4 linked regions of the Anolis sagrei genome follow. The protein of the gene in region 4 interacts with the protein of the main gene of each other region in a biochemical or structural test. Links are inferred from orthologs where the notes say so. Each region holds a gene or a part of one and is shown on either strand. Other genes may lie near its edges.

The links.
Region 1: the proteins of RB1 (region 4) and MCM7 form a complex in vitro, tested with the Homo sapiens proteins (2 studies listed by BioGRID). The link is inferred for Anolis sagrei from reciprocal best matches to the Homo sapiens genes RB1 and MCM7.
Region 2: the proteins of RB1 (region 4) and DNMT1 form a complex in vitro, tested with the Homo sapiens proteins (2 studies listed by BioGRID). The link is inferred for Anolis sagrei from reciprocal best matches to the Homo sapiens genes RB1 and DNMT1.
Region 3: of the proteins of RB1 (region 4) and CDK1, one has a biochemical effect on the other in vitro, tested with the Homo sapiens proteins (8 studies listed by BioGRID). The link is inferred for Anolis sagrei from reciprocal best matches to the Homo sapiens genes RB1 and CDK1.

The regions. Positions count from the first base shown.
Region 1 is NC_090024.1:246,955,085-246,962,353, forward strand, and holds the start of MCM7 (DNA replication licensing factor MCM7), read right to left. Parts: upstream 3,013-7,269; 5' UTR 2,914-3,012; coding exon 2,856-2,913; intron 2,769-2,855; coding exon 2,671-2,768; intron 2,593-2,670; coding exon 2,428-2,592; intron 1,294-2,427; coding exon 1,154-1,293; intron 538-1,153; coding exon 357-537; intron 1-356. Other genes in the region: AP4M1 (AP-4 complex subunit mu-1), read left to right, coding at 4,488-4,545, 6,335-6,420, 6,501-6,613. UniProt on the Homo sapiens protein: Acts as a component of the MCM2-7 complex (MCM complex) which is the replicative helicase essential for 'once per cell cycle' DNA replication initiation and elongation in eukaryotic cells.
Region 2 is NC_090022.1:172,053,362-172,060,216, reverse strand, and holds the start of DNMT1 (DNA (cytosine-5)-methyltransferase 1), read right to left. Parts: upstream 3,020-6,855; 5' UTR 2,929-3,019; coding exon 2,882-2,928; intron 1-2,881. UniProt on the Homo sapiens protein: Methylates CpG residues. Preferentially methylates hemimethylated DNA. Associates with DNA replication sites in S phase maintaining the methylation pattern in the newly synthesized strand, that is essential for epigenetic inheritance.
Region 3 is NC_090023.1:165,444,678-165,451,881, reverse strand, and holds the start of CDK1 (cyclin-dependent kinase 1), read right to left. Parts: upstream 3,021-7,204; 5' UTR 2,905-3,020; intron 1-2,904. UniProt on the Homo sapiens protein: Plays a key role in the control of the eukaryotic cell cycle by modulating the centrosome cycle as well as mitotic onset; promotes G2-M transition via association with multiple interphase cyclins.
Region 4 is NC_090021.1:150,193,394-150,201,146, forward strand, and holds the start of RB1 (retinoblastoma-associated protein), read left to right. Parts: upstream 1-4,753; 5' UTR 4,754-4,839; coding exon 4,840-4,895; intron 4,896-7,753. UniProt on the Homo sapiens protein: Tumor suppressor that is a key regulator of the G1/S transition of the cell cycle. The hypophosphorylated form binds transcription regulators of the E2F family, preventing transcription of E2F-responsive genes.

The sequences.
Region 1 (7,269 bases), on a different chromosome or scaffold from region 4:
TCCTGTTAGCTATTCTCACACTCCTTCGAACTCTGAATTCCAAACAGTCAACCCGATCTAAGGTTCCCATTTCATCAAGGTCAGTCTGTTCGTTAGTGTCCGCCTGTTTCCCTGCTTGCTCATTATCAGACTGAGAACTGTCCTCCTTCTCTGAGTCAATCTGCACCTGGCTATTTTCAGTATCAGCACTCTCATGCCTTGCTGTGGGAAAGTGCACTTCTTCACTGTCTATAACAGGGACATTTTGAACCAGGCTGTGAACCTGAGTCACATCATCCTCATCGGAGGCACTCTGTGGTTCCAGCTGAGTCACTCCCTGCCCTCAATCCCCTTTTGCCAGGCTGCCCAAAACTCACCGGCTGGTAGGTCTCCGCCCCGCAGCGGTCGCAGGAGTAGGTGGCCACCACCATCCGGGGCTTGACCTCTGAGGCGCGGGTCACGATGCCCCGGACGGTCACCAGCTTCCCGATGCAGTCGGCCTTCACCTCACGGATCACTCGGGGCTTCATCCCGGAAGGAGCCTTGAAATAGAGCTCGCTGTTGGGGGCACAGGAGGAGCGTGAGAGGGGCAAAACGGGGAGGCTGGAGTTGGAGGTTTTGGAGAAGTTATGATCTTTGCAAAGGCACGACCTTGTTAGAAATCATAATCTTTTGGGAAATGGCATTCATGCAAGACAATTATGTTTTGCAGCTGTTAAAACTGATATACCTAGTTTTTGAACTGTTAGGGACAAAGATATGCCAATGCACAAAAACGTATACATAAATATGTATATCTAGGGCCCTAAGATTATCTGAGGAGACCCTGCTCATTGTCCCCTCATTGTCGCAATCGCGTCTGGCGGGGACAAATGACAGGGCCTTCTCTGTGGTGGCCCCCCGTCTGTGGAACTCCCTCCCGAGTGAAATTAGATCTGCTGAATCCCTCTTGACCTTCCGGAAACAAGTAAAATCCTGGCTATGGGATCAGGCCTTTGGAGAATAGGCTGACTTACTGACGTGTTGACTTATTTAGAACTGATCAAGTGCCCCTGGATAATGATTTAAATTGGTGATGGCTGACTATTTGTTGTCTGTTCTTATAGTTTTATATTGTTTATGGCTTCCCCACCCCTTCCCCCCTGACCCCTCCCCTTTTGTGGGCGGGACTCACAATCTGCGCATGAGCTCTGCGGGGAAGTTGTTCTGTGGGGGGCGGGACTGCGCAGCCCCCCTTTCCCCGCCTCCTCCTCGGCGCCCTTCCAGCAGCAGCCGGTGCTCCAGGTAGACGTCCAGCGCATCCTTGTGCACAATCTAGGCAGAGCGGAAACACAATATTATTAGCCTTCTATATTTTCCTATCTCTGGCATCCTCCTCCATCAGAATTCTGGGAAATGTAGTTCCAGGCTGCGTTTTTTATTTTGCTATTCCCGGCCTAAGAGGGAATGGCAAAGGACTACATTTCCCGGCATCCTCCCCGCTGTGCATCCTGACCTCTCTCTGCTGGAATATCATATTATATGTATAGACAATATATTAAATTATAGAGTATCATATTATGTGTCTATGCAAAATATATTATATTACAGAATATCATATTATGTTTCGATGCAAAATATTATATTAGTGAATATCATATTATGTGTCTTTGCAATTATTATATTACAGAATATCCCATTATGTGTCTATGCAATATATTATTATAATGCCATACTACATATCTATGCAATATATTATAGAATATCATATTGTGTCAATGGAAAAATTATATTTCAGAATATCACGTTATATGTATATGCAATATATTACAGAATATCATATTATGTGTATGCAAAATATTATATTATATTTCAGAATATCATATATGCATATGCAATAATATATATTACAGAATACCATATTACGTATCTATGCAATATACAGGGTTAGTCAAAATGAATAGGCCAATTCGGGTACAATTAATTCTCTTATTGGCCTATTCATTTTGACTAACCCTGCAGATATCACATTATATGTTCATATAATATATATTTCTAAATACCACACGTATATACAATATATAATATATCAGAATATCATATTATATATATATATATATATATATATATATATATATATACACACAACATATATTAGAATATCATATATTTATATACAATATATTATACAGGGTTAGTCAAACTGCATAGGCCAATAAGCCATTCAATTGAATGGCTTATTGGCCTATTCATTTTGACTAACCCTGTATTATAATACAGAATGTCATATTATATTATCAGCATAGCACAGGAGACAAGGGAGAACTTTAGTGTCCTCCCCCCCTAAGAATTCTGGGAAATGTAGTTCCAGGCCGGTTTTTGGTTTTTTGGGGGTCTATTCCCGGCCTAGGAGAGAATGGCAAAAAGACTACATTTCCCAGCACCCCCTTGGTTGTAAGGAGTGCTGACCTCTCTCTGCTTGTAGGCGGGCAGGAGCCGGGCGGCGGCGTCGGCGAAGAGGCGCTGGTAGCGGGGGGCGTTCTCGCAGGCGGCCTCCGCCAAGGCCGGGTCCTCCTCGGCCACGTCGTCCAGGTCCACCCGCAGCGTGGAAGCCTCGCGGTGCGCCAGAAGGGTCTGCCCAGGAAGGGAGAAGGTTAGCAAGGGGTGGGAGCCTCCGGGGAACTCTCCCCGCCGCCTCGGGCACGGACTCACCAGCTGCTCCCGGTAGGGGAAGTGTTTCCCGGCCTGGTCCGAAGGGAGAGAAGAGGAAGAGCTGGAGAAGAATCCCTCCAGGAAGGACGCCGCCTTGTCTGATAGGAAAACAGGAAAAGAAGCGTCAGGCAAAGGGAGAGAGAGGCCTTTCCATCTCCTCCCCGCCGCTTCCTCGCTGCCCTCACCCATCTCGGCGTCGTAGTCCCCGCGTAGGCCCAGCTTCTCGCCTTTTCCCGACGCCATCCTGCCTTCTCTTCTTCTGACTGCTTTTTCCCGCGCGCGGGAAAAGGCGGCGCTGCTCCGATTGGCCGGCTCCACACGACTCAGCCAATCCCCGCCCTCCTTTCTGTCAATCCCCGCCCTCCTTCCTTGTTAGCCACGCCTCCATCTCGCTCTGGCTTTTTCCCGCGCTAGTCAAGATTGACATAATCCGATTGGTCCGCGCGGTTCCATCCCACAGCCAATCCCTGCTCGGGATTGCGCGAAAGGGAGGAGACTCTTCCACAGCTCCCACATACGTGACGCAACACCTCGGAACCAATCCCTGCTCGGCTTTGGAAGTAGAGGGCGGGGACTCGATTCAATAGGCCACGCCTCTATGTGAAGCAACGCCCCGCAGCCAATCCTTGCTTGGCTATGCAGAAAGAGGCGGAGACTTGCTCTTATACAGGCCACGCCTCTACGTGAAGCAACGCCCCGCAGCCAATCCCTGCTCGGCTATGCAAAGAGAGGCGGAGACTTATCCGTATGCAGGCCACGCCTCTCCGTGACGTAAAACCCTCAACCAATCCCAGTTCGTCTTTGAAGGGAAGGGCGGGGAAATTTCTTTATGCAGGCCACGCCTTTACGCCCCGCAGCCAATCCCTGCTCGCGTTTGAAGAGAAGGGCGGGGACTCGTCGTTCTCTAGGCCACGCCTTCAAGTGACGCACAACTCCGCAGCCAATCCTTGCTCGCGTTTGTAGAGAAGGGCAGGGACTCTTCATTCTCTAGGCCACGCCTTTAAGTGACGCAGCACGCCACAGCCAATCCCTGCTCGCCTTTGCAGGCAGGGGCGGGGACTTGCTGTTATACAAACCACGCCTCTACGTGACGCAACACCTTGCAACCAATCACCGCTCACATTTGCAGAGAAGGGCGGAAACTCTTCCTTGTGTAGGCCACGCCTCTACGTGACGCAGCACCTCGCAACCAATCACCGCTCGTCTTTGCAGCGAAGGGAGAAAACTCTTCCTTGTGTAGGCCACGCCTCTACGTGACGCAGCACCACGCAACCAATCACCGCTCGCCTTTGCAGGCGGGGGCGGGGACTTGCCGTTATACAAACCACGCCTCTACGTGACGCAGCACCTCGCAACCAATCACCGCTCGCCTTTGCAGGCGGGGGCGGGGACTTGCCGTTATACAAACCACGCCTCTACGTGACGCGACACCTCGCAACCAATCACCGGTCACATTTGCAGAGAAGGGCGGAAACTCTTCCTTGTGTAGGCCACGCCTTTACGTGACGCGACACCTCGCAACCAATCCCTGCTCGTCTTTGCAGAGAAGGGCGGAAACTCTTCCTTGTGTAGGCCACGCCTCTACGTGACGCTACATTCCTCAACCAATCCCTTCTCCCTTTATCACTGAAGGGTGGAGACTCTTCCTTGTGCAGGCCACGCCTCTAGGTGACGCAGCGCCTGTGAGCCAATCCCAGGCGGGAGGGGCGTGACCTCCCACAGGCCACGCCCCCTCCCTAGTATTTTGCTTCTTCCAGGAAGTAAGGCTAAAGAGAGTGCTCCGGGGCGTGTGCAGAGTGTTTCCTGGAGGGCCGAGGATGATCTCGGAGGTGTTCGTGCTCTCCTCGCAAGGGGACCGGCTCCTCTACAAGGACTGTATCCTTCCTGAAGGGCAGAAGGGGAGAGACTTACTTACTTACTTACTTAGGCGATCCCTCGTTGGACGAGTAAGATGGTCTTCCTTGATGACTATTTTTGTGGGTTTGTAGGTGGCTGTGGAGCCCTCTTCTTGACCCACATCTTCTCCCACAGTGAAGGCATCAGTTTCCAGGTGGAAGGCGGTCCCGGTCGGGGTTGGCTTGACGCGCCTTCCTCCTGGCACGTTTCTCTCTTTCACCCTCCACTCGTGTCTCCTCAAATTCTGCAGCACTGCTGGTCACAGCTGACCTCCAGCTGGAGCGCTCAAGGGCCAGGGCTTCCCAGTTCTCAGTGTCCATGCCAGAGTTTTTAAGGTTGGCTTTAAGCCCATCTTTAAATCTCTTTTCCTGTCCACCAGCATTCCGTTTTCCATTCTTGAGTTCAGAGTAGAGCAACTGCTTTGGGAGACGGTGGTCGGGCATCCGGGCAATGTGGCCAGTCCAGCGGAGTTGGTGGCGGAGAAGCATCACTTCAATGCTGGTGGTCTTTGCTTCTTCCAGCACGCTGACGTTTGTCCGCTTGTCTTCCCAAGAGATTTGCAGGATTTTCCGGAGGCAGCGCTGATTGAATCGTTCCAGGAGTTGCATGTGACGTCTGTAGACAGTCCACGTTTCGCAGGCATAGAGCAGGGTTGGGAGGGGAATAGCTTTATAGACAAGCACCTTGGTATCCCTACGGATGTCCCGGTCCTCGAACACTCTCTGCTTCATTCGGAAAAATGCTGCACTTGCAAAGTTCAGACGGTGTTGCATTTCAGTCTCAATGTTGACATCTGTAGACAGTCCACGTCTCGCAGGCATAGAGCAGGGTTGGGAGGACAGTAGCTTTATAGACAAGCCCCTTGGTCTCCCTACGGATGTCCCAGTTCTCAAACACTCTCTGCTTCATTTGGGAAAATGCTGCACTTGCAAAGCTCAGACGGTGTTGCATTTCAGTCTCAATGTTGACATCTGTAGACAGTCCACATTTCGCAGGCGTATAGCAGGGTTGGGAGGACAATGGCTTTACAGACAAGCACCTTGGTATCCCTACGGATGTCCCGGTCCTCAAACACTCTCTGCTTCATTCGGGAAAATGCTGCACTTGCAAAGCTCAGACGGTGTTGCATTTCAGTCTCAATGTTGACATCTGTAGACAGTCCACATTTCGCAGGCATAGAGCAGGATTGGAAGGACAATAGCTTTATAAACAAGCACCTTGGTATCCCTACGGATGTCCCGGTCCTCAAACACTCTCTGCTTCATTCGGGAAAATGCTGCACTTGCAAAGCTCAGACGGTGTTGCATTTCAGTCTCAATGTTGACATCTGTAGACAGTCCACATTTCGCAGGCATAGAGCAGGGTTGGGAGGACAGTAGCTTTATAGGCAAGCCCCTTGGTCTCCCTATGGATGTCCCGGTCCTCAAACACTCTCTGCTTCATTCGGGAAAATGCTGCACTTGCAGAGCTCAGGCGGTGTTGTATTTTGGCGTCGATGTTGACTTTGGTGGAGAGGTGGCTGCCAAGGGAGCGGAAATGGTCCACATTTCCTAATGTTACACCATTAAGCTGTATCACTGGCATTGGAGAGGGATTGGCTGGTGCCTGCTGGAAAAGCACCTTGGTTTTCTCAATGTTCAGTGAGAGGGCGAGCTTCTCGTATGCTTCTGCGAAGGTGTTTAGAGTGGCTTGTACGTCTTCTTCTGAAGGGGAGGGACAGTGGGGGAGGGCCCTGGTCCCGTTGCCCTCCTTGACCCTCTGCGCACAGTCCGTGGGGAGGGCCACCCCGGCCTCGTGGAGGACTTCTTCCGGAAGGTGACGGCGCTGCCTCCTGACCAGGCCCCGGTCTTCATGGTGAGAAGGGGGTCAAGGCCAAGGGGGAAGCACCGGACGTCACTCACCCTCTGACGTCACACCCTCCCTTTCTCCTGCAGGAGGCGCATCCCCCGGGGCTCCACTTCGCGCATGTGCGTCATGGGGGGCTCTACTTCGTGGCCACCATCCCTTCCAAAGCTTCACCTTTTGCAGCACTGGAGTTCCTCAACAGGTCAGTCGGGGGCGGGGCTTGGAGCTAGGCCACGCCCACTGCACAGCTAGGCCACGCCCCTATGCATGGGACAACTTGGGCCCTCCCTCTCTCCAGGTGTTGTGGACTCCAATTCCTACCTTCCTAACACTTGGAAGGAGGTCCTAAGTTGGCCCATGCCTGGCTAAATCCTACATCAAGGCCAGCTCACACCCCACAACAAAGGATTCCCCCAGGAAGGAAGCAGCCAGGCTTTGAAGGTGCAAGGCTACTCAATGCTAATCAAGCTAGCCAATAGCAACATTCACACTTGGCTCCAACAGATTATAGAGTTCTCTCTTTCTCCCATCCTTGACAACATTCCACAGATATATAGATATATATATATATATATATATATATATATATATATATATATAGGATTCCCCTGGACAGGAAGCAGCCAGACCTTGAGGCTGCAAGGCTACTCAATGTTAATCAAGGTGGCCAGTAGCAACATTCACACTTGCCTCCAACAGATTATAGAGTTCTCTCTTTCTCCCACCTTTGACAACATTCCACACACACACACATATATATAGGATTGCCTCGGGCAGGAAGCAGCCAGGCCTTGAAGGTGTAAGGCTATTCAGTGCTAACCAAGGTGGCCAATAGCAACATTCACACTTGCATCCAAC
Region 2 (6,855 bases), on a different chromosome or scaffold from region 4:
AAGATAATAATAATAATAATAATAATAATAATAATAATAATAATTCCACACAGCTGAATAAAATCCCACATTTTCTGCTTTGAGCTGGAATATATGGCAGAGTGGACTCAGATAACCCAGTTCAAAGCGGATATTGTCGGATTTTTCTGCCTTGTTATTCTGTATGGAAGGGCCTGAGTCCACACTGCCATATAACCCGGCTCAAAGCAGATAGTGTGGGATTTTATACAGCCTTAGGTCCCTGAGTCCCCTTTGGGGAGATGGTGGCAGGGTATAAATAAAGATTATTATTATTATTGTAAGCCGCACCGAGTCCTTCGGGAGATGGTAGCGGGGTACAAATAAAGGTTTATTATTATTATTATTATTATTATTCCACATAGCTGAATAAAATCCCAAATTTTCTGTTTTGAACTGGAATATATGGCAGTGTGGACTCAGATAACCCAGTTCAAAGCAAATATTGTCGGATTTTTCTGCCTTATTATTCTGAGTTATATGGCTGTATGGAAGGGCCTGAGTCCACCCTGCCATATAACCCGGTTCAAAGCAGATAGTGTGGGATTTTATACAGCCTTAGGTCCCCGCGTCCCCTTTGGGGAGATGGTGGCAGGGTCTAAATAAAGATTATTATTATTATTATTATTAAAACATCAATTCATCCGGGTGCCCCCTGGGCATCGTCCTTGCAGACGGCCAATTCTCTCACACCAGAAGCGACTTGAAGTTTCTTAAGTCGCTCCTGACACGACAAAAATATTATTATTATTATTATTATTATTACTATTATTATTATTCTACACAGCTGACTAAAATCCCACATTTTCTGCTTTGAACTGGAATATAAGGCAGTGAAGGTTCAGATAACAGTTCAAAGCAGATACTGTGGGATTTTTCTGCCTTGATATTCTGGGTTATATGGCTGTGTGGAAGGGCCCAGAGTCCCCAAACACAAAACTGGAATGGATGTAAACTACAAAGAGCAGCTAGCCTCCTCTTCCTGCCTCCTGGAGACAACAAAAAGTAGGAAATCTTTATGTTTTATGTAATTTATCAAGTTATTGTGTATGTTTTGATTTTAGTTATTGCATTGTGTTGCTGGGCTTGGCATCATGTAAGCCGCCCCGAGTCCCCATTTGGGAGATGGAGGCATAAATAATAATAATACTTTATTTGTACCCCGCTACCATCTCCCCAAGGGACTCGGTGCGGCTTACATGAGGCCGAGCCCAAACACAACAATACAAGCAATAATAACAACAATACAAGCAATTAAAAACATATAGACAATAAGAGACACAACATTAAAGATTATTATTATTATTGAATCCCCTTGCTTCTCTGCTTCTATTGCTATTAAAAACGTTGGGGGAGGCCTAGTTTGACAGGAAAAACGAAATGCAAAGATACAAAATGGGGGACAATGCCTGGCTCGAGAGCAGTACGTGTGAAAAAGATCTCGGAGTCCTCGTGGACAACAAGTTAAACATGAGCCAACAATGTGATGTGGCGGCAAAAAAGACAAATGGGATTTTGGCCTGCATCAATAGGAGCATAGTGTCTAGATCCAGGGAAGTAATGCTACCCCTCTATTCCGCCTTGGTTAGACCACATCTGGAATATTGTGTCCAATTCTGGGCACCACAATTCAAGAGAGATATTGACAAGCTGGAATGTGTCCAGAGGAGGGCGACTAAAAGGATCATGGGTCTGGAGAACAAGCCCTATGAGGAGCGGCTTAAGGAGCTGGGCATGTTTAGCCTGAAGAAGAGAAGGCTGAGAGGAGATATGATAGCCATGTATAAATATGTGAGAGGAAGTCATAGGGAGGAGGAAGCAAGCTTGTTTTCTGCTTCCTTGGAGACTAGGACGCGGAAGAATGGCTTCAAACTACAAGAGAGGAGATTCCATCTGAACATGAGGAAGAACTTCCTGACTGTGAGAGCCGTTCAGCAGTGGAACTCTCTGCCCTGGAGCACGGTGGAGGCTCCTTCTTTGGAGGTTTTTAAACAGAGGCTGGATGGCCATTTGTCAGGGGTGATTTGAATGCAATATTCCTGCTTCTTGGCAGGGGGTTGGACTGGATGGCCCATGAGGTCTCTTCCAACTCTTTGATTCTAAAGAGAAGAAACCTGAGACGAACAAAACTTGACACCTTAAGTTATTTTCTCGCTTTTGGAGATGATTGACAGCCAAACACCCAACTTGTGCTGCGTGGCAGGGCAGCCAAAAGAAAAGAACGCAGAGGCAGAAAGAAACAGAAATTAGCAATAATAACAACAACATATTGATGAGCATCCATTCCAATACTGAAAAAAAAAAGTGGAGGCAGTTAACAGGCCCAGGACTGGCCAAGCAATGGAGGGCCCTTCCACAGAGACAACATCAAGGCTGGCCATCCCACAATATCTGCTTTGAACTGGGTTATCTGAGTCCACACTGCCATATAATCCAGTTCAAAGGTGATAATGTGGGATTTGATTCAGCTGGAAGGTGCTCATTTTATTCAGATGCTCCCCTATCAGCAAAGCAGGCCTTCCAATCCTTCAAGAACACACAGAATTTGATAGGGGAGGAGTAATTATGGTGTAATTATGTTAAATGAGGGGAAGGTGTCCAGGAAGGCCTCAGAAGGCCACCTTTCCCTTTAAGAGACCCCCTTCTTTCTCCTCACACTCTCCCTTCACTTCCCTCTGAAGGAGAGAGACGAAGAAGAAGGGCGAAACCATGTCTAAAAAGGAGGGGGGGCTGAGGAGGGAGAAACCATATACAAAATGGAGGGGGGGGCTCGAAAGACCAGTACTCTCCCCCTCACTGAGGGTGCTTGCCCCCCCCCCCCAAAGCTTGAATTGGGGTCGTGGGGAGCAGGGGCCTCACTCACCGCCTGCGCAGCTCCTCGGGGGTCAGCGGGGCGGCCCGGGCGGGCATCTCGGCAGGAAGGAAGGAAGGAAGGCGGCGGGCAGGGAGCCGGAGGGCGGCCGAGAGCGGTTTCGCGCGCACCGGGGAGGAGGGGGAGGAGGGAGGGGCGGGGCCGGAGCTGGAATGAACCATCCGGCATTAGGCCCGGGGGGGGGGAGGCAAGAGGAGGTCTCTACTTCGGGCCTTCTCAATGCATGGAGTGGGGGAGACCAAGTAGACAACGGAGGGGGTGCTTGTTTGTATTGATGTGCCTTTATCGAGGTTTGGTGACTCCATACATTTCTTAGGGCTTTCATACTTCATCACACACTAGAGAGAATGAATCCACTTTCAATCTGGTTTCTGCCTCCTGCAGGATTCTGGGGTTTGTAGTTTAGGGATGCTGTTCTAGGCTCCTCCCTAAACTACAAACCCCAGAATTCTGCAGGAGGCAGCAACCGGGATTAAAGTGGATTCATTCTCTAGTGTGATGAGGTCCTTATAGAAAAGTCAGAGGTCGCTTTGATCATTTACAAAATGCAGACCATAACTCTGTAGCTCTGTGCATGGCAGTGAGAGAAGTGCGCGTGTGTATATATGTAATGACTGTATATATAGAGGGGGACCAGTCACCAGCCATCCCCTCTCCAATGCCAGAGATACAACTTAATAGTGTAACATTAGAAAATGTTGACCATTTCCGCTACCTTGGCAGTCACCTTTCCACCAAAGTCAACATCGACACCGAAATACAACACCGCCTGAGCTCTGCAAGTGCAGCATTTTCCAGAATGAAGCAGAGAGTGTTTGAGGACCGGGACATCCGTAGGGAGACCAAGGTGCTTGTCTATAAAGTTATTGTCCTCCCAACCCTGCTATATGCCTGCGAAACGTGGACAGTCTACAGACGTCACATGCAACTCCTGGAACGATTCCATCAGCGCTGCCTCCGGAAAATCCTGCAAATCTCTTGGGAAGACAAGCGGACAAATGTCAGCGTGCTGGAAGAAGCAAAGACCACCAGCATTGAAGCGATGGTCCTCTGCCATCAACTCCGCTGGACCAGCCACGTTGTCCGGATGCCCGACCACCGTCTCCCAAAGCAGTTGCTCTACTCCGAACTCAAGAACGGAAAACGGAATGTTGGAGGACAGGAAAAGAGATTTAAAGATGGGCTCAAAGCCAACCTTAAAAACTCTGGCATAGACACTGAGAACTGGGAAGCCCTGGACCTTGAGTGCTTCACTTGGAGCTCAGCTGTGACCAGCAGTGCTGCAGAATTTGAAGAGGCACAAATGGAGGGTGAAAGAGAGAAACGTGCCAAGAGGAAGATGTGCCAAGCCAACCCCGACTGGGACCGCCTTCCACCTGGAAACTGATGCCCTCACTGGGGGAGAAGATGCAGGTCAAGAATAGGGTTCCACAGTCACCTACGGACCCACCACCAGTACACCAAACTTGGAGGACCATCATAGAATCAAAGAGTTGGAAGATACCTCATGGGCCATCCAGTCCAACCCCCTGCCAAGAAGCAGGAATATTGTATTCAAATCACCCCTGACAGATGGCCAGCCTTTGTTTAAAAGCTTCCAAAGAAGGAGCCTCCACCACACTCTGGGGCAGAGAGTTCCACTGCTGAACGGCTCTCACAGTCAGGAAGTTCTTCCTCATGTTCAGATGGAATCTCCTCTCTTGTAGTTTGAAGCCATTGTTTCATGTCCTAGTCTCCAGGGAAGCAGAAAACAAGCTTGCTCCCTCCCCCCTGTGGCTTCCTCTCACATATTTATTGTTGTTCATTCGTTCAGTCATCTCCGACTCTTTGTGACCTCATGGACCAGCCCACGCCAGAGCTCCCTGTCAGCCGTCACCACCCCCAGCTCCTTCAAGGTCAGTCCAGTCACTTCAAGGATGCCGTCCATCCATCTTGCCCTTGGTCGGCCCCTCTTCCTTTTTCCTTCCACTTTCCCCAGCATAATTGTCTTCTCTAGGCTTTGCTGTCTCCTCATGATGTGGCCAAAGTACTTCAACTTTGTCTCTAGTATCCTTCCTTCCAGTGAGCAGCCGGGCTTTATTTCCTGGAGGATGGACTGGTTGGATCTTCTCGCAGTCCAAGGCACTCTCAGAACTTTCCTCCAACACCACAGTTCAAAAGCATCTATCTTCCTTTGCTCAGCCTTCCCTAAGGTCCAGCTCTCACATCCGTAGGTTACTACAGGGAATACCATGGCTTTGACTAGGCGGATCTTTGTTGCCAGTGTGATGTCTCTACTCTTTACTATTTTATCAAGACTGGACATTGCTCTCCTCCCAAGAAGTAAGCGTCTTCTGATTTCCTGGCCGCAGTCTGCATCTGCAGTAATCTTTGCACCTAGAAATACAAAGTCTGTCACGGCCTCCACATTTTCTCCCTCTATTTTCCAGTTGTCAATCATTCTTGTTGCCATAATCTTGGTTTTTTTGATGTTTAGCTGCAACCCAGCTTTTGCGCTTTCTTCTTTCACCTTGATTAGAAGGTTCCTCAGCTCCTCTTCGCTTTCGGCCATCAGAGTGGTGTCATCTGCATATCTGAGGTTGGGATGTTTATATATCATCCTCGGACTACGAGGGATCGCCTAAGAAGAGATGTGTGTGTGTGTAATGACTGTATCTATATATATATATATAGAGTGTATGTATATGTATGTATGTATATATACTGTATATATCAAATGTCTATGTGTTTTTATAGTGTGTAGATATGTGTATGTATATATATACATACATACATACGTAATATGTAGGCATAAGTGTGTTTATATACTGTGTGCATATATGTTAGTGTGTAGATATGTATCTGTATGTGCTTTTATATACATACTATGTGCATATATGTGTAAGTGCATGTCCATCTATGTGTGTATATGTGTTATGTCTCTTCTGTAATCTGTAAGTAAACTTTATTACGGTTGGTGACCAGATCATAACGGGGGGACCCAGTCCCGCACATCCACGTCAAACCCAAGGGGTTATATGCTTCAAACTTCAACAAATTTAAAAATCTAGGCTAAAAACCACATAACCCACAAATTTTAAAATCTAGGCTAAAAACCACATAACCCAACTCAACCCACAAGATCATTCGAAGGCAGTCTAAAAGGATGTAGTGGGGATGGTACCCGGGGGGGGGGGGGGGGATGATATCCAACACTATAAGTATCATTCTATATCCAATTTCCCATCTATAGTTATTATAGATCAAAATGTACTCCTTACAGACCAAATGACCTCCTAACCTCCTCAAAACCCATCTCTCTCTTGCATTTCCTAACATGGCCATTGGCGACTGTTGAAAAGCATAAATGGCAGAGGATTACCTGTCTATACCCTCTACCCAGATGCACAGTGATGATGGTGTCATGCCCGGGGACCTCCAGAAGACTCTTGAGATATTCTTCAAGATTCTTTGTCACTATGTGTTGTGTCCAGCTATCAGAACACAGCTGGATGCTCCTGCATCATCCCCTGGGCTCCATAGGTCACTAAGTAGCAATGGTGAGAAGGAAGCAAGAAGGAACATCCCATGGGAGATCATTCTTCCTGGGTAGAACTTTACAGGCTCCATAGAAGATTGTTGTAGTAATAATAATATTTATGTATTTATAGCCTGCCCTGTCTCTCCGAAGGGACTCAAGACAGCTTATAAGAAAATAAAACACAGTTACATTCAATGCCAAAGGTACATATAAACAAACCATTAAATATTATAAAATCAGTAAAAATTATAGGTGATTCTATGATTCTGTCTCCTTTGAAGTGGATTGTATGGCAGTGTAAAGGTAAGATAAAGGTTTTCCCCTGACATGAAGTCCAATCATGTCCGACTGGGGTGTGGTGCTCATCTCCATTTCTAAGCCTAAGAGCTGGCATTGTCTGTAGACACCCCCAAGGTCATGTGGCTGGCATGACTGCATGGAGCGC
Region 3 (7,204 bases), on a different chromosome or scaffold from region 4:
GTTGGGTTATATGCAACTCACAAACAGGAAAAGGAAATGCATGGACTCTTTAAAAAAAAAGACTAGTATGCAAAAGGATTGTGTAGCATCGACATTGAGGAATGAATCCTTCCCAAAATACCTTGGAATCCAGGAGGGTCCAATGAGGGCAGCTGAGATAGTGACCCTTTTGTTTTCTGAGTGTTCAGTGTAACCATACACAAAATTATTAAAGTAATAATTGACCTTACATGTATAATGTGTATAATGAATTCCTGTTTAGACTTGGATCCCGTTACCAAGATATCTTATTAAATATATGCAAATATTCCAAAATACAGGACGATTCAAAATATGCAACACTTCTGGTCCAAAGCATTTCAGATAAGGAATACTCAACCTGAACTGGATCGTGTTATTTTAATATTTATACTAAAATGTTTTTTAATGCTTTGTCTTAATGTTTAAATGTTGTTTATGCCTTCTATTTTGTGGTTTTAATGATTTTAATGCATAGCTATATGTTAGTGTTTAGTTACTATGATTTTTTTTGAGTCCCTGGTGCGCAGTGGGTTAAACCCCTGTGCCGGCAGGACTGAAGACCTACAGGTCGCAGGTTCGAATCCAGGGAGAGGCGGATGAGCTCCCTCTATCAGCTACAGCTCCTCATGTGGGGACATGAGAGAAGCCCCCCACAAGGATAATAAAAACATCAAAATTATCCGGGCGTCCCCTGGGCAACGTCCTTGCAGACGGCCAATTCTCTCACACCAGAAGCGACTTGCAGTTTCTCAAGTCGCTCCTGACACAACAAAAAATGATTTTTTTTCTTTTTACATGTATGTTGGCATTGAATTTTTGTCATTAGTATTTTGTAATCCGCCTTGATTCCCCCTATGGCAGCGTTTCTCAACCTGGGGGTCGGGACACAAGAGGATGTCAGATGGGTCGCCAAAGACCATTAGAAAACAGTAATTTCTGTTGGTCATAGAGGTTTTGTGTGGGCAATTTGGCCCAATTCTATTGTTGGTGGGGTTCAGAATGCTCTTTGATGGTAGGTGAACTATAAATCCCAGCAACTACAACTCCCAAATGTCAAGGTCTGTTTCCCCCAAACTCCACCAGTGTTCACATTTCGGCATCTTGAGTATCCAGATCAAGTTTGGTCCAGATCCATCACTGAGTGCACAGTGCTCTCTAGATGTAGGTGAACTAGAACTCCAAAATTCAAGGTCAGTGCCCACCAAATCCTTCCAGGATTTTCTGATGGCCATGGGAGTTCTGTGTGCCAAGTTTGGTTCAATTCCATTGCTGGTGGACTTCAGAATGCTCTTTGATTGTAGGTGAACTATAAATCCCAGCAACTACAACTCCCAAATGACAACCCCTCCCCCAGCCCCACCAGTGTTCAAATTTGGGCGTATTGGATATTTGTGCCAAATTTGGTCCAGTGAGTGAAAATACATCCTGCATATCAGATATTCACTTTACAATTAATTGTTGTGTTGTTCATTCATTCAGTCGTCTCCAACTCTTCGTGACCTCACGGACCAGCCCACGCCAGAGCTCCCTGTCGGCCGTCACCACCCCCAGCTCCTTCAAGGTCAGTCCAGTCACTTCAAGGATGCCATCCATCCATCTTGCCCTTGGTCGGCCCTTCTTCCTTTTACCTTCCACTTTCCCCAGCATAATTGTCTTCAATTAATAACAGAAGCAAAATTACAGTTATGAAGTAGCAACAAAAATAATTTTATGGTTGGGAGTCACCACAACATGAGGAACTGTATTAAGCGGTCATGGCATTAGGAAGGTTGAGAAACACTGCCCTATGGGGTTCGAAAGAGGGGATATAAATACAGTAAATAAATCTATATCTGGTGTGATTTGGCCAGGGATGGACCATGGATTATGGGACTTGCAGTACCTTTGTTCAATTCCTGAGACCACTGCAACTCCCATCCAATTACCGACAAAGACCAAAATTGGCACACTGAGACTCCATGACGCACTCTACATCCAGGTGCAGTTTGAAGGAGGATGCACCATGGACGATGGGACTTGCAATACCTGCACTCCCTTTCTAAGACCATTACAACTGCCAACAATGATGGATCAGGAGCACAATTTACAGAGACCCAGCATAACCCACTCTACATCCTGGTGCGGTTTGGAAGAATTTGACAATGGATGATGGGACTTGCAGTCACTTCACTCACTTCCTGAGACCACTGAGACCCTCGCCAATGACTAATCAAGACTAAACTTGGCACATGGAGCTCCAATGACCCACTCTACATCCTGGTGCAGTTTGGAGGAGGACAGATAATGGATGATGGGACTTCAAGTACCTCCACTCCCCAAGACTGCTGCAAAACTCATCTAATGACCAATCAAGACCAAAGTTGGCACACAGAGCCCCCATGACCCACTCTATATCCTGCTGCTGTTTGGAGGAGGATGGGCCATGGATGATGGGACTAAGTGCCTTCACTCACTTCCTGAAAATAATGCAGCCGTTATCCAAAGACCAATAAAGACCAAACTTGGCATACAGAACCGCCATTACCCACTTTCTCTAATAACCCAGGCAACGCCGGGTCCCCAAGCTAGTAAATGAATAAATGTGGACTCCACTTCAACTGCCCAGGGATCGTGGGAGTTGGAGTCTTTACAAGGCCAAAAAGGGCCCAAACGACAACTCTGAGGATTCCATGGCAGTTATAGTGGAGCCAAACTGCATTCATTCCACAGTGTAGACGCAGTAGATGGCTGGGGGAATTCTGGGTGCTGCAATGCATGGAAAACTATGCTAGCAACTCCTTTCTCTCAGTCTGAACGGTGTTCCATGAGGCTGAGATTCCCAACTAGTGTGGCTTTCTGGAGAGTGTCGAAAAGGGGGTCCCCCAACACCACCTCGCCCCTTACCCGTGCTTCATCCGTGGGCGCTGCCCCTCCAGACCCACGCCGCGCTCCTCTCTCTGCAAGTCTCCCTCAGGCAGCCGAGCAAGAGGCGGATTCAAATGAACCGCGCCGAGCCGCCGCCAACGCGCCAATAAGGACGGGCCGCCGCTTTCAAAACGGCCAATCAGCGCGCGGCAAACCACCGGCGCCAAAGCGCTGCGGAAGAGCGGTCTTGGCTCGAGCCGAGGCCAGGCGGGCGGGCGCAGGAAACAGAGAAGAAAAGGAACAGCAACAAGAAATTAAAAATCGCGAGGCAGGGCACGTATTGATGACGTAACGCCATGTTGATACATAAGTGTCCATAAACCCTCTTAAATTTCTTTGGAATAATTTCCAATGGTATAAATAGACTCTCCTGCTTAGAGAGGCTTCCCAGCTCTTGGGTCCTTCCACATAGCCCTATAAAATCATAGAATCATAGAATCAAAGAGTTGGAAGAGACCTCATGGGCCATCCAGTCCAACCCCCTGCCAAGAAGCAGGAATATTGCATTCAAATCACCCCTGACAGATGGCCATCCAGCCTCTGTTTAAAAGCTTCCAAAGAAGGAGCCTCCACCACACTCCGGTGCAGAGAGTTCCACTGCTGAACGGCTCTCACAGTCAGGAAGTTCTTCCTCATGTTCAGATGGAATCTCCTCTCTTGTAGTTAGTTTGAAGACATTGTTCCTCGTCCTAGTCTCCAAGGAAGCAGAAAACAAGCTTGCTCCCTTCTCCTCCCTGTGGCTTCCTCTCACATATTTATACATGGCTATCATATCTCCTCTCAGCCTTCTCTTCTTCAGGCTAAACATGCCCAGCTCTTTAAGGCGCTCCTCATAGGGCTTGTTCTCCAGACCCTTGATCATTTTAGTCGCCCTCCTCTGGACACATTCCAGCTAGTTCACCTACATCCAGAGAGCACTGTGGACTCAAACAATGATGGATCTGGACCAAACTTGGCACAAATATTCCATATGCCCAAATATGAACACAGATGGAGTTTAAGGGAAATAGACCTTGACATTTGGGAGTTGTCATTGCTGGGATTTCTGGTTCACCTACAATCAAAGAGCATTCTGAACTCCACCAATGATGGAATTGAACCAAACATGGCATACAGGACTTCCATGACCAACAGAAAAAACTGGAAGGGTTTGGTGGACATTGACCTTGAGTTTGGGAATTGTAGTTCTTCCACATCCAGAGAGCACTGTGGACTCAAACAATTATGGATCTGCACCAAAGTCTACAAGAATACTCAATATGCCCAAATGTGAACACTGGTGGAGTTTGGGGAAAATAGAATCTTGACATTTGGGAGTTGTGGTTGCTGGAATTTATAATTCACCTACAATCACAGAGCATTCTGAACCCCACCAACAATAGAATTGGGCCAAACCTCCCACACAGAACCCCCATGTGGGCCACAGCAACCCGTGGCAAGGGATGGCTAGTCTATATAAATAAAAGTGTAATGTTCATTTGTGGGAATAACATAACACAAAAACCACTGGGGGAATTGACACCAAATTTGGACACAAGACACCTAACAACCCAATGTATGTCCTTCACTCAAAAAAATTGATTTTGTCATTTGGGAGGTGTAGTTGCTGGGATTTATAGTTCACCTGCAATCAAAGAGCATTCTGAACTCCACTAATGATGGAATTGGGCCAAACTTAGCACCCAGGGCTCCCATGACCAACAGAAAATACTGGAAGGATTTGGTGGGCAGTGTTCTTTGATTTTGGAGTTGTAGTTCACCTACATCCAGAGAGCACTGTGGACTCAAACAATGATGGATCTAGACCAAACTCTATACGAATACTCAATATGCCCAAATGTGAACACTGGTGGAGTTTGGGGAAAATAGACCTTGACATTTGGGAGTTGTAGTTTCTGGGATTTATAGTTCACCTACAATCAAAGAGCATTCTGAACTCCACCAATTATGGAATTCAACCAAACATGGCATACAGGACTTCCATGACCAACAGAAAACACTGGAAGGGTTTGACCTTGAGTTTGGGAGTTGTAGTTCACCTACATCCGGAGAGCACTGTGGACTCAAACAATGATGGATCTGGACCAAACTGTCTGGTTTGCCTACTCTGGAATATGCAACATATCATTGCCCTTCTTTAAGGGTGTCTTTCAAATCTATGATACTATATCTCTGTGTGTGAGAGAGAATCGTATCTATCTATCTATCTATCTATCTATCTATCTATATTTATGACTGGATGGCTCTTTGTCAGGAGGGATGTGGGTGAACTACAATTCCCAAACTCAAGGTCAATGTCCACCAAACTCTTCCAGTTTTTCTGTTGGTCATGGGAGCCCTGTGTGCTAAGCTTGGCCCAATTCCATCATTGGTGGAGTTCAGAATGCTCTTTGATTGTAGGTGAACTATAAATCCCAGCAACTACAACTCCCAAATAACAAAATCAATTTTTTTGAATAATGGGTTGTTAGGTATCTTGTGTCCAAATTTGGTGTCAATTCCCCCAGTGGTTTTTGAGTTCTGTTAATCCCACAAATGAGCATTACATTTTTATTTATATAGATACACTAGGGCAGCTCATCTCACTGTTGCCCATTAGAGGGCAGAGTAGACAAATGGATAGACATACAAATACAAATGTGTAGTTTTGACTCATTGCAGAAAATGTTACTGCAGAGAGACATAGGTTAGACAACTGAGATCAGCAATGTGTGGTCTCCAAATGTTGTGGGACTATATATTCCATCAACCTAGCCAGCATAGCCAATGGTAAGGACTGTGATTGGAGTTGCAGTCCAGCAATGTCTAGAGAACTGCACATTCACTATGCTTGCTTTAGCAACCTTTTCAGAAAGGCATGGTTAGTTTCAAAGTCTTGTGGGAAATTAATTTACCTAAAGAAATGCAAATAGCTCTGTAAAATAAACAATAGTGTAAACTAGAAGCAGAAATCCAAAAACATAAAACTTTAAAATGCTTCCTGAGAACTTGCAGAGTAAAGAATGCAGGGTAGGTGAAACAATATAACATGTTCTTACACATGCCCAATTCTTACGTATATTGTTATTACGTAAGTGACTAATATGCCATAAGTATATTAGCTTCACAGCCAGTTAGGCAAACAACTGCCTAGACTCAAGTAATAGTTTTCAATCTTTGTACCTCCGGATGCTTTTTGGCTTAATTTCCCGGAAGCCCCAGCAGCAAGGATTATGGGAGTTGACGGCCAAAATATTTGGAGAAAAACTGGAGAACCATGCAGACCCTATGATTGCATTCTCTGCCCAAAACTGCAAGGGAAAAGTGGGTTGAAAGTTGTCCCTCTGAGGCCTCTTCTACATTGCCATATAAAATCCAGATGATAAGTTTTGAAGTGGCAATGGAAACTCATATAATCCAGTTCAAAGAAGATAATGTGGATTTTCTGCTTTGATAATCTGGATTATATGGCAGTGTAGAAAGGGCCTAAGTTCCTTGAGAGCTATTTACAGTCATAATGAACATGACTAGGGGAGAGGAACAACTAACTTGAATTGTGTCGATGTTTCTCCCAACTGGTTGTGCAACAAACCAGATAAAAAAAGAGGCACCGTGGTGTAATGGTCTGAACACTGGACTATGACTTGGGAGACCATTGTTGATGCTTGGTAATTGTAATTGACAGGAGTATGCCAATTTCTCCAGTTTTTATGCCTCCTTTACAAATAATGTGTTCTAAGTAGATAGGGTAATAAAAGGCAGCCTTGCCTAAGGACATTGCCAACTGGAAATCATCCAGTTTCTCCATATGCTATCCCGACTGTAACCTCTTGACCTGAGTACAATCATCACCATCATCTTTAATTACTTATTAATCGCCCTCCATCCGAGATGCTCCAGGCGATTTACATTGCAGAAATTATACAGGATAAAACACATACATACAAATACTAAAATTAACATGGCTCAAATGTTCTATTAAAAAGCCAGGTCTTAAGTGCTAGGATAAAATGCCCTGAATCACGCATGGCTCTAAAATAGGGAGGCAAGGAATTCCATAAGGCAGGGGCAGAAATAGAAAAGGCCCTGTGTCTGCTGCTTTCCAAGTGCACTTCCCTAGAACCCAGTAAATAGAGCAAATTTATTTATTTAAAAGTTTTCTATACCGATCTTCTCACCTCCAGGAGGGACTCAGATCCGGTTCACAACATGTGTTCATATACAAAATACAAACCACACAATGCATTATCATTACACGTTAAAACATATTACAATACATCATCATCACAATTACACAGCC
Region 4 (7,753 bases):
GCTATATGGCTGAACCTCAACATTTTTCATCTTAAGACACACCCTCTTTTTCATATTTTGAAGTATAGTGTCCTTTTTATATGTTTGAATAGCAGCTGTATAAAATCTTAGTTAGTGCATTACAAGAAACGGACCTAGAAAAAATACCAGGTCAATAGTGCATCTCATCTTAAAATAAAATTTGATAGAATAATATCTTCTGATTAAAAAAAAAATAAACAGACTATGACACTTTAGATTTTTAGCAGCATATTACTAGTGATGTGGTTGATTACAGCATATTCAGAAAATGATTTATAATAAAAGTGCAATTTCTTATTTTTTTTAATGCAATTACTTTTACATTTGATTTCCAAACGGCTGTTCTAATATAGGTGTCTGCTGTAACAAAATTGAGCAGTAACTTTGTGTTATTGAGATGTATATAAGCTATGTATGTGCAATGGAAAATAAATATTACAAACCTGTTTGTCTAAAAGTTTGTCCATTTTCTTTTCACATTTTCTTTTACATGGCGAATTTCTCTAGGATGCTTAACATAGGACTACTGAATTTTAACCTTAATAATATTTTAGATTAGAATTGAGATTAGATGTTATAAAATATGTCATATGGCTATTAGTTGAAGCAAATAATACAATTTTAAATAAAAAATAAGGTCATGTACCTGTTGGATTCTGTATCTCTTTCACCATCATGACTGAATATTCCCATGATACCACTTCCACTGATACATTTTTAAAAAGTATTTGTAGCAGATTTCAGAATACATTTTGTTTGTATTGGAGAACCTGGGCTCAGGTCCATGGATGAAAAACAGAGCTATTACCTGCTTTGGTGGGATTGTTTGTGTTTCCATCAAAAGGGATATTGACAAGCTAGAAGGTGTTCAGAGGAGGGCGACTGAAAGGATCAAAGGTCTGGAAACCATGAATCCCTATGAGAGTGACTTAAAGAGCCAGGGATGTTTAGCCTGCCGAAGTAAAGGTTGAGAATAGACACAATCTATATAAATAAAAATGTAATGTTCGTTTGTGGGATTAATATAATTGAAAAACCACTGGACGAATTGACATCAAATTTGGACACAATATACCTATCAGGCCAGCGAGTGACCATCACTCATAAAAACACTGTGAAACACAGCGGAAAGGACTAAAAAAGCCAAAAAGATGCTACAGCGCATGCGCAAACCACACACATACATGCAAACACACTTATATACACACAAAGCACATATACAGAAACTGGGCCACAGCAACGTGTGGCAGGGGGCAGTTAGTAGCCATGTATAAAGATGTGAAAGAATGTCATAAGAGGGAGCAGGCTTGTTTTCTGCTGCCCTGGAAACTAGGACTCAATGGAGGAATGGGCTCAAATTGCAGGAAAGGAGATTCCACCTGAACATTAGGAAGAACTTCCTGACTGTAAGAGCTGTTCAGCAGTAGAACTCTCCGCCTCGGAGTCTGGTGGGGGCTCCTTTGGAAGTTTTGTAACAGAAGCTGGATGGCCGTCTGTCGGGGGTGCTTTGAATGCAATTTTCCTGCTTCTTGGCAGAGGGTTGGACTGGATGGCCCATGAGGTCTCTTCCAGCTCTATTATTTACGAGTATGAATCTTGTCTTTTGGAGGCAAGTGTGAATGTTGCAATTGGTCACCTTAATTAGCACCAAATAGCCTTGCAGCTTCATAGCCTGGCTGCTTCCTGCCTGGGGGAATCCTTCTGTGGAGGCCATATTATTATTATTATTATTATTATTATCTTTATTTGTACCCCGCTAGCATCGATGCGGCTTACAAAGGTCAAGGCCTCAAACACAACATAACAATACACAACCTAAAGCAAATTAAAAACAGTTGAAGCAATATTAAACAACAAGCAATAAACAGTGCACCCGGAAACAATAAAACTGGGCCGGGCCAGAGCAATGGGTACATATGTCTGGGCTGATTTGATTGTGCTTTTCCTGCATGGCACAGAGTTTGACTAGATGGCCCATGCAGTCTCTTCCAACTCTATGATACTATAATTCTAAATAGAGGCTGAAAGAAAGCCCATCTGCTGAGACTGCTTTGTGTGTTCCTGCATGGCAGAATGAGGTTGGACGAGATGGCCCTTGCAGTCTCTTCCAACTCTTACGATTCTATGGGTCTAAGATATGATAGAGCTAAACTAATCCGACTACAGAAGCTCAAGGAGATAGCAATGGGATTTCCACCATTCAGATTTATGAATCTACTACTTTTTATGCTTCTTTCATTCCTCCGTGATTGTAATTTCCAAAGTATCTGGCAGGTTTGTTAGATACCAAGATGAGAAAGATATTTCTCTGGATAATAGGGAATGTTCTTCCTTTGGCAGATGGGAGGGGACATCTAAACAGGACAGTACAGGGCTTCTTAAACCTTTTCAACAATGCTTGACATGACCCTAGGTATGTAGGGTATATGAAATAGGTATAAAAATTGAACATGTATTGAGAACTAATCAGGCTCGGCGACGAGTTCAGGATCACTCCCAAGCTGTGAACCTGTGTCTTTAGTGGGATCCCATTTGAGGCCAGGACCCAGTTTAAGAAGCAGTGAGACGGAGTACAGCGGGCCCTCGGTATCCACTGGGATTTGGTTCCAGGACCCCACTGGATAACAAAATCAGGATATACAATGGCAAAATCACACATACAGCCTTTATTGGCATACAACAACAAAATCACAACACAGGCCCATACAACAAAAAGTCACAGATAAAAAGGAAAACATACTTAAACGTTACTAGTCTCAAGAATAAATTTTGCAGCAGTCTGGCATGCATAGTCCTCAGTGGTTGAAAAGAGGTACAAGTGTCTTGAAAGGAGGGAACTCTGAACACGGGCCTTCAATCATGTTCAGAGTTCCCACCTCTTATTACACTTTACAAACAAGTTTACAACTGAAAAACAGGTGGGATGGGAACCACCAAGTTTCCCGTCTTGTTTCGTTGCCCAACTGACAGCAGTCTCATCGAATGCTCTAGTAAAAAGTCAGGTCTTAAGTGTGAGAGTAAAAGGCCCTAAGTCACGCATGGCTCTCATGTAGGGCAACAAGGAATTCCACAAGGCAGGGGCAGAAATAGAAAAAGCCCTGCATCTGATCCTTTCCAAGTGCACTTCTCTAGGACCCAGTATATGGAGTAAGTCACGTTGGGCTGGTTGTTGCGATCTCCGATGATGGGAGGAGAGGCGGTCCCTAAGGTACGATGGACCCTGGCCGTAAAGAATTTTAAAGGTCAGAACTAACATCTTATACAGGCCACGGTACTCAGTTGGAAGCCAATGTAAATGTTGCAGCACTGGTGTTATATGGCATTTCATGGGCGTTCTTGTGAGTAACCTGGCTGCCGCATTCTGAACAATACGAAGCTTTCGGGTCGTAGACATCAGAAGGCCCACATACAGGGCGTTGCAATAGTCCAGCCTAGACGTTACCGTGGCATGGATGACAGTTGCCAGTGCCTCGTCAGATAGGTAGGGTGCCAGTTGCCTCGCTTGTCGTAGATGGAAAAAGGCCTGTTTGCTGGCAGCAGCGACCTGAGCTTCCATTGTCAGCTGTGAATCCAGGATGAGGAAGAACAAGCTGAAGATTAATCCCGACAAGACAGAGGTCCTCCTGGTAGATTGTAAACCAGATTGGGGTATAGGGTGGCAACCTGTGCTGGACGGGGTTACACTCCCCCTGAAGTCACAGGTCCACAGTTTGGGTGTCCTCCTGGACTCATCACTTATGCTTGAAGCTCAGGCGTCGGCGGTGGCCGGGAGGGCCTTTATTTATTATTTATTTATTTAGGTTACTTTTACCCCGCCCTTCTCAACCCCCAAGGAGGGACTCAGGGTTACAAAGAAGGCACAATGTGATGCCTATACAAATTACACATAATATACAAAACCATGGCTAAAACAATTATTGCAGTTAAAAACAATAAAAACAATCAGTACATAACATGTCATATATAAAAACTATAAAAAAAACTATTCTCATGCTCAGCGCTTCGTCTTTCAGAGTTCCATAATTCTATTCCATTAATCATTTCCTAATCATTGTCAAGTCCTTTTATCTGCCCGATTATCCGAATGCCTGGTCCCAAATCCATGTTTTCAGTTTTTTCCTAAAGTAAAGGAGCGGTGTTGCAGATCTAATTTCCCTGGGGAGTGAATTCCAAAGGTGGGGGGCCACCACCGAGAAGGCCCTGCTCCTCGTCCCTGCCAATCTCACTTGTGATAGAGGCGGGGTCGAGAGCAGGGCCTCCCCAGAAGATCTTAGACTCTGGGGTGGGACGTAGAGGGAGATCCGTTCGGATAGATACACTGGGCCTTTGCACAATTAAGACTTGTGCGCCAACTGTGACCGTACCTCGGGAAGGCGGATCTGGCCAGGGTGGTCCATGCCTTAGTCACCTCCAGATTGGACTACTGTAATGCGCTCTACATGGGGCTGCCCTTGAAAACGTAATGGAATTGGACAATACCCTTGCCATTGGGAACACCGTGAGAAAATGGGAGGGCAAAAAACAAAAACAAAACAAGGTTTGCTTATAGTGATAGGATATGCAGCTTGACACTTCTGTCCAGGTGGAAGGGGGAACTATGAAGAGTCCAAACCAAGCCCGCCTTCAGCACCTGCTTCTCTCCTCTCTTGGCCACCAGTGAAGGGAAGCTCCGCGCGCCCTCCAGAGCAGGAAGTGACGTCTGCGGCGGGCGCGAGGCCCTTTCCCGCGGTTCGCGAGGCCTGCTGCCGGTTGGCTGCTGGCTGTCGCGCGCAGGAGAGGGAGGGGGCGCCGCCGCTGAGGGGCTTGGAGGCGCCCAAGATGGCGCCCACGAGGCCCCCGAGGAAGGCGGAGCCGGAGCCCGCGGCCACAGCCAGGTCAGTGCCCTCCGTCCCCCTCTCTTTTGGCCTTTTCCCCCATAGAAGGAGAGCGGCTGCCACCCCACTGGGCTTTTGTTCATCCCAAGGGAAGCCCAAGTAGGAGGGGAAGGGGTCTTCTCCTCAAAGACCTTACAACAGGCATGGGCCAACTCTGGCCCTCCTGGTGTTTTGGACTTCAACTCCCACAATTCCTAACAGCCGCTAGCGGCTGTTAGGAATTGTGGGAGTTGAAGTCCAAAACACCAGGAGGGCCGGAGTTGGACCATGCCTGTGTTACAATGACAGGAAAAGTTTCAAAAGTTGTTGCTCTGCTGCTGCTGTTGTTGGAAAAGATCCAGATCTGAAGTTCCCCTTTTGACAGTCGCTGCCATTGCCATCTTGTCTTAAGAAGTTCCCTTTGTGGCTACTTTCAAATCAACTTTGTCTTCCTTTCCAAATGCCAGCCTCCGTTTATTTACAAACTAGCCGTCCCCTGCCAGGCGTTGCTGTGGCCCAGTCTGGTGATCTGGAAAACAAAGTAATGAGAAAGTGTTGGATTCTAATATATGTAATTTTTATGCTTGTGAGTAAACAGTGTTTCTTTGTCAATGTTGATGTGGAGATTGTCTGGAACGTGCAACATGCAAATTGTCCTTCTTTAGGGGTCCTCTTCAACTCTATGATACTATATGTGTGATACTCTGTGTGAATCATATATATCTATCTATATCTAAGGCTGGATGGCTCTTTGTCATGATTACGTTTGATTACGTTTTCTTGCCCTGGTGAAGGGAGTTGGACTGGATGGCCTTAATAATATGGGGGTTCTGTGTGGGAAGTTTGTCCCAATTCTGTCGTTGGTGCGGTTCTGAATGCTCTGTGATTGTAGGTGAACTATCAATCCCAGCAATTACAACTCCCAAATGTCAAGATTCTATTTTCTCCAAACTCCACCAGTGTTCATATTTGGGCATATTGAGTATTCGTGTAGAGTTTGAACCATATCCATCATTGTTTAAGTCCACAGCAATCTCTGGATGTAGGTGAACTACAACTCCAAAACCAAAGGACACTGCCCACCAAACCCTTCCAGTATTTTCTGTTGGTCATGGGAGAACTGTGTGTCAAGTTTGGTTCAATTCCATTGTTGGTGGGGTTCAGAATGCTCTTTGATTGTAGGTGAACTATAAATTCCAGCAACTACAACTCCCAAATGACAAAATCATTTTTTTCGAGTGAAGGACATACATTGAGTTGTTAGGTGTCTCGTGTCCAAATTTGGTGTCAATTCGTCCAGTGGTTTTTGAGTTCTGTTAATCCCACAAACGAACATTACATTTTTATTTATATAGACTAGCTGTCCCCTGCCACGTGTTGCTGTGGCCCAGTCAGTTGATCTGGAAAATAAAGTAATGAGAAAGTGTTGGATTCTAATATATGTAATTCCTTTATGTTTGTGGGTAAACAGTATTTATTGCAGTTTCTTTGTCAGTGTTGATGTAAAGATTGTCTGGTTTGCTTACTCTGGAACATGCAACATGTCATTTTTTAGGGATCCTTTTCAACTCTATGATACTATATCTCTCTCTGTGTGAATCATATATATCTAGCTATATCTAGGGCTGGATGGCTCTTTGTCAGGAGGGCTTTGATTACGTTTTCTTGCTCTAGTGAAGGGAGTTGGACTGGATGGCTTTAAGTATTTTCTGTTGGTCATGGGAGTTCTGTGTGGGAAGTTTGGCCCAATTCTGTCGTTTGTGTGGTTCAGAATGCTCTGTGATTGTAGGTGAACTATAAATCCCAGTAACTACAACTCCCAAATGTCAAGGTCTGTTTCCCCCAAACTCCATCTGTGTTCATATTTGGGCATATGGAATATTTGTGCCAAGTTTGGTCCAGATCCATCATTGTTTGAGTCCACAGTGCTCTCTGGATGTAGGTGAACTACAACTCCCAAACTCAAGGTCAATGCCCACCAAACTCTTCTAGTGTTTTCTGTTGGTCATGGGAGTTCTGTGTGCCACGTTTGCTTCAATTCCATCGTTGGTGGGGTTCAGAATGCTCTTTGATTGTAGTTGAACTATAAATCTTGGCAACTACAACTCACCAATGGCAAATCATTTTTTTAGTGATGATCACTCCATGGGTTAGTAGGTGTCTTGTGTCCAAATTGGCGGCAATTCGTCCAGTGGTTTTTGAGTTATGTTAATCCCACCAACAAACATTACATTTTTATTTATATAGATTCTTCCTATTTCCTCTCCTTTATTACTACTAGTTCACTTGGCCATTTGGACATACTCTAGTACTTTCTCTCTCCAATCTTTAACAGTGAACTCTTTTTATCCCTTCTAAGATTTTGTTATTGCTAGTCCTGCTGCAACAAAGCTGTATTGCGCTGTCCAGCACTTTCATGCCTGGAATTTCTGTGAGTTTTCCGGGCTGTATGCCCATGTTCCAGAAGCATTCTCTCCTGATGTTTTCCCCACATGTAGGACAGGCATCCTCAGAGGTTGTGAGATCTGTTAGAAACTAGGCAAGTAAGGTTTATATATCTGTGGAATGCCCAGGGTGGGAGAAAGAACCATTGTCTGTTTGAGGCAAGTGTGAATGTTGCAATTGGCCACCTTGATTAGCATTGAATGGCATTGCAGCTTCAAAGCCTGGCTCCTTCCTACCTGGGGGACTCCTTTGTTGGGAGATGCTAGCTGGCCTGGATTGTTTCATGCCTCGAATTCCTGTTTTCTGAGTGTTGCTGAGTGAGGACAGTAAATAAAAATAAAAAGCCAGTTGACACCATTCAACAAAGGATTCCCCCCAGGCAGGAAGCAGCCAGGCTTTGAAGCTGCAAAGCCATTCAGTGCTAATCAAAGTGG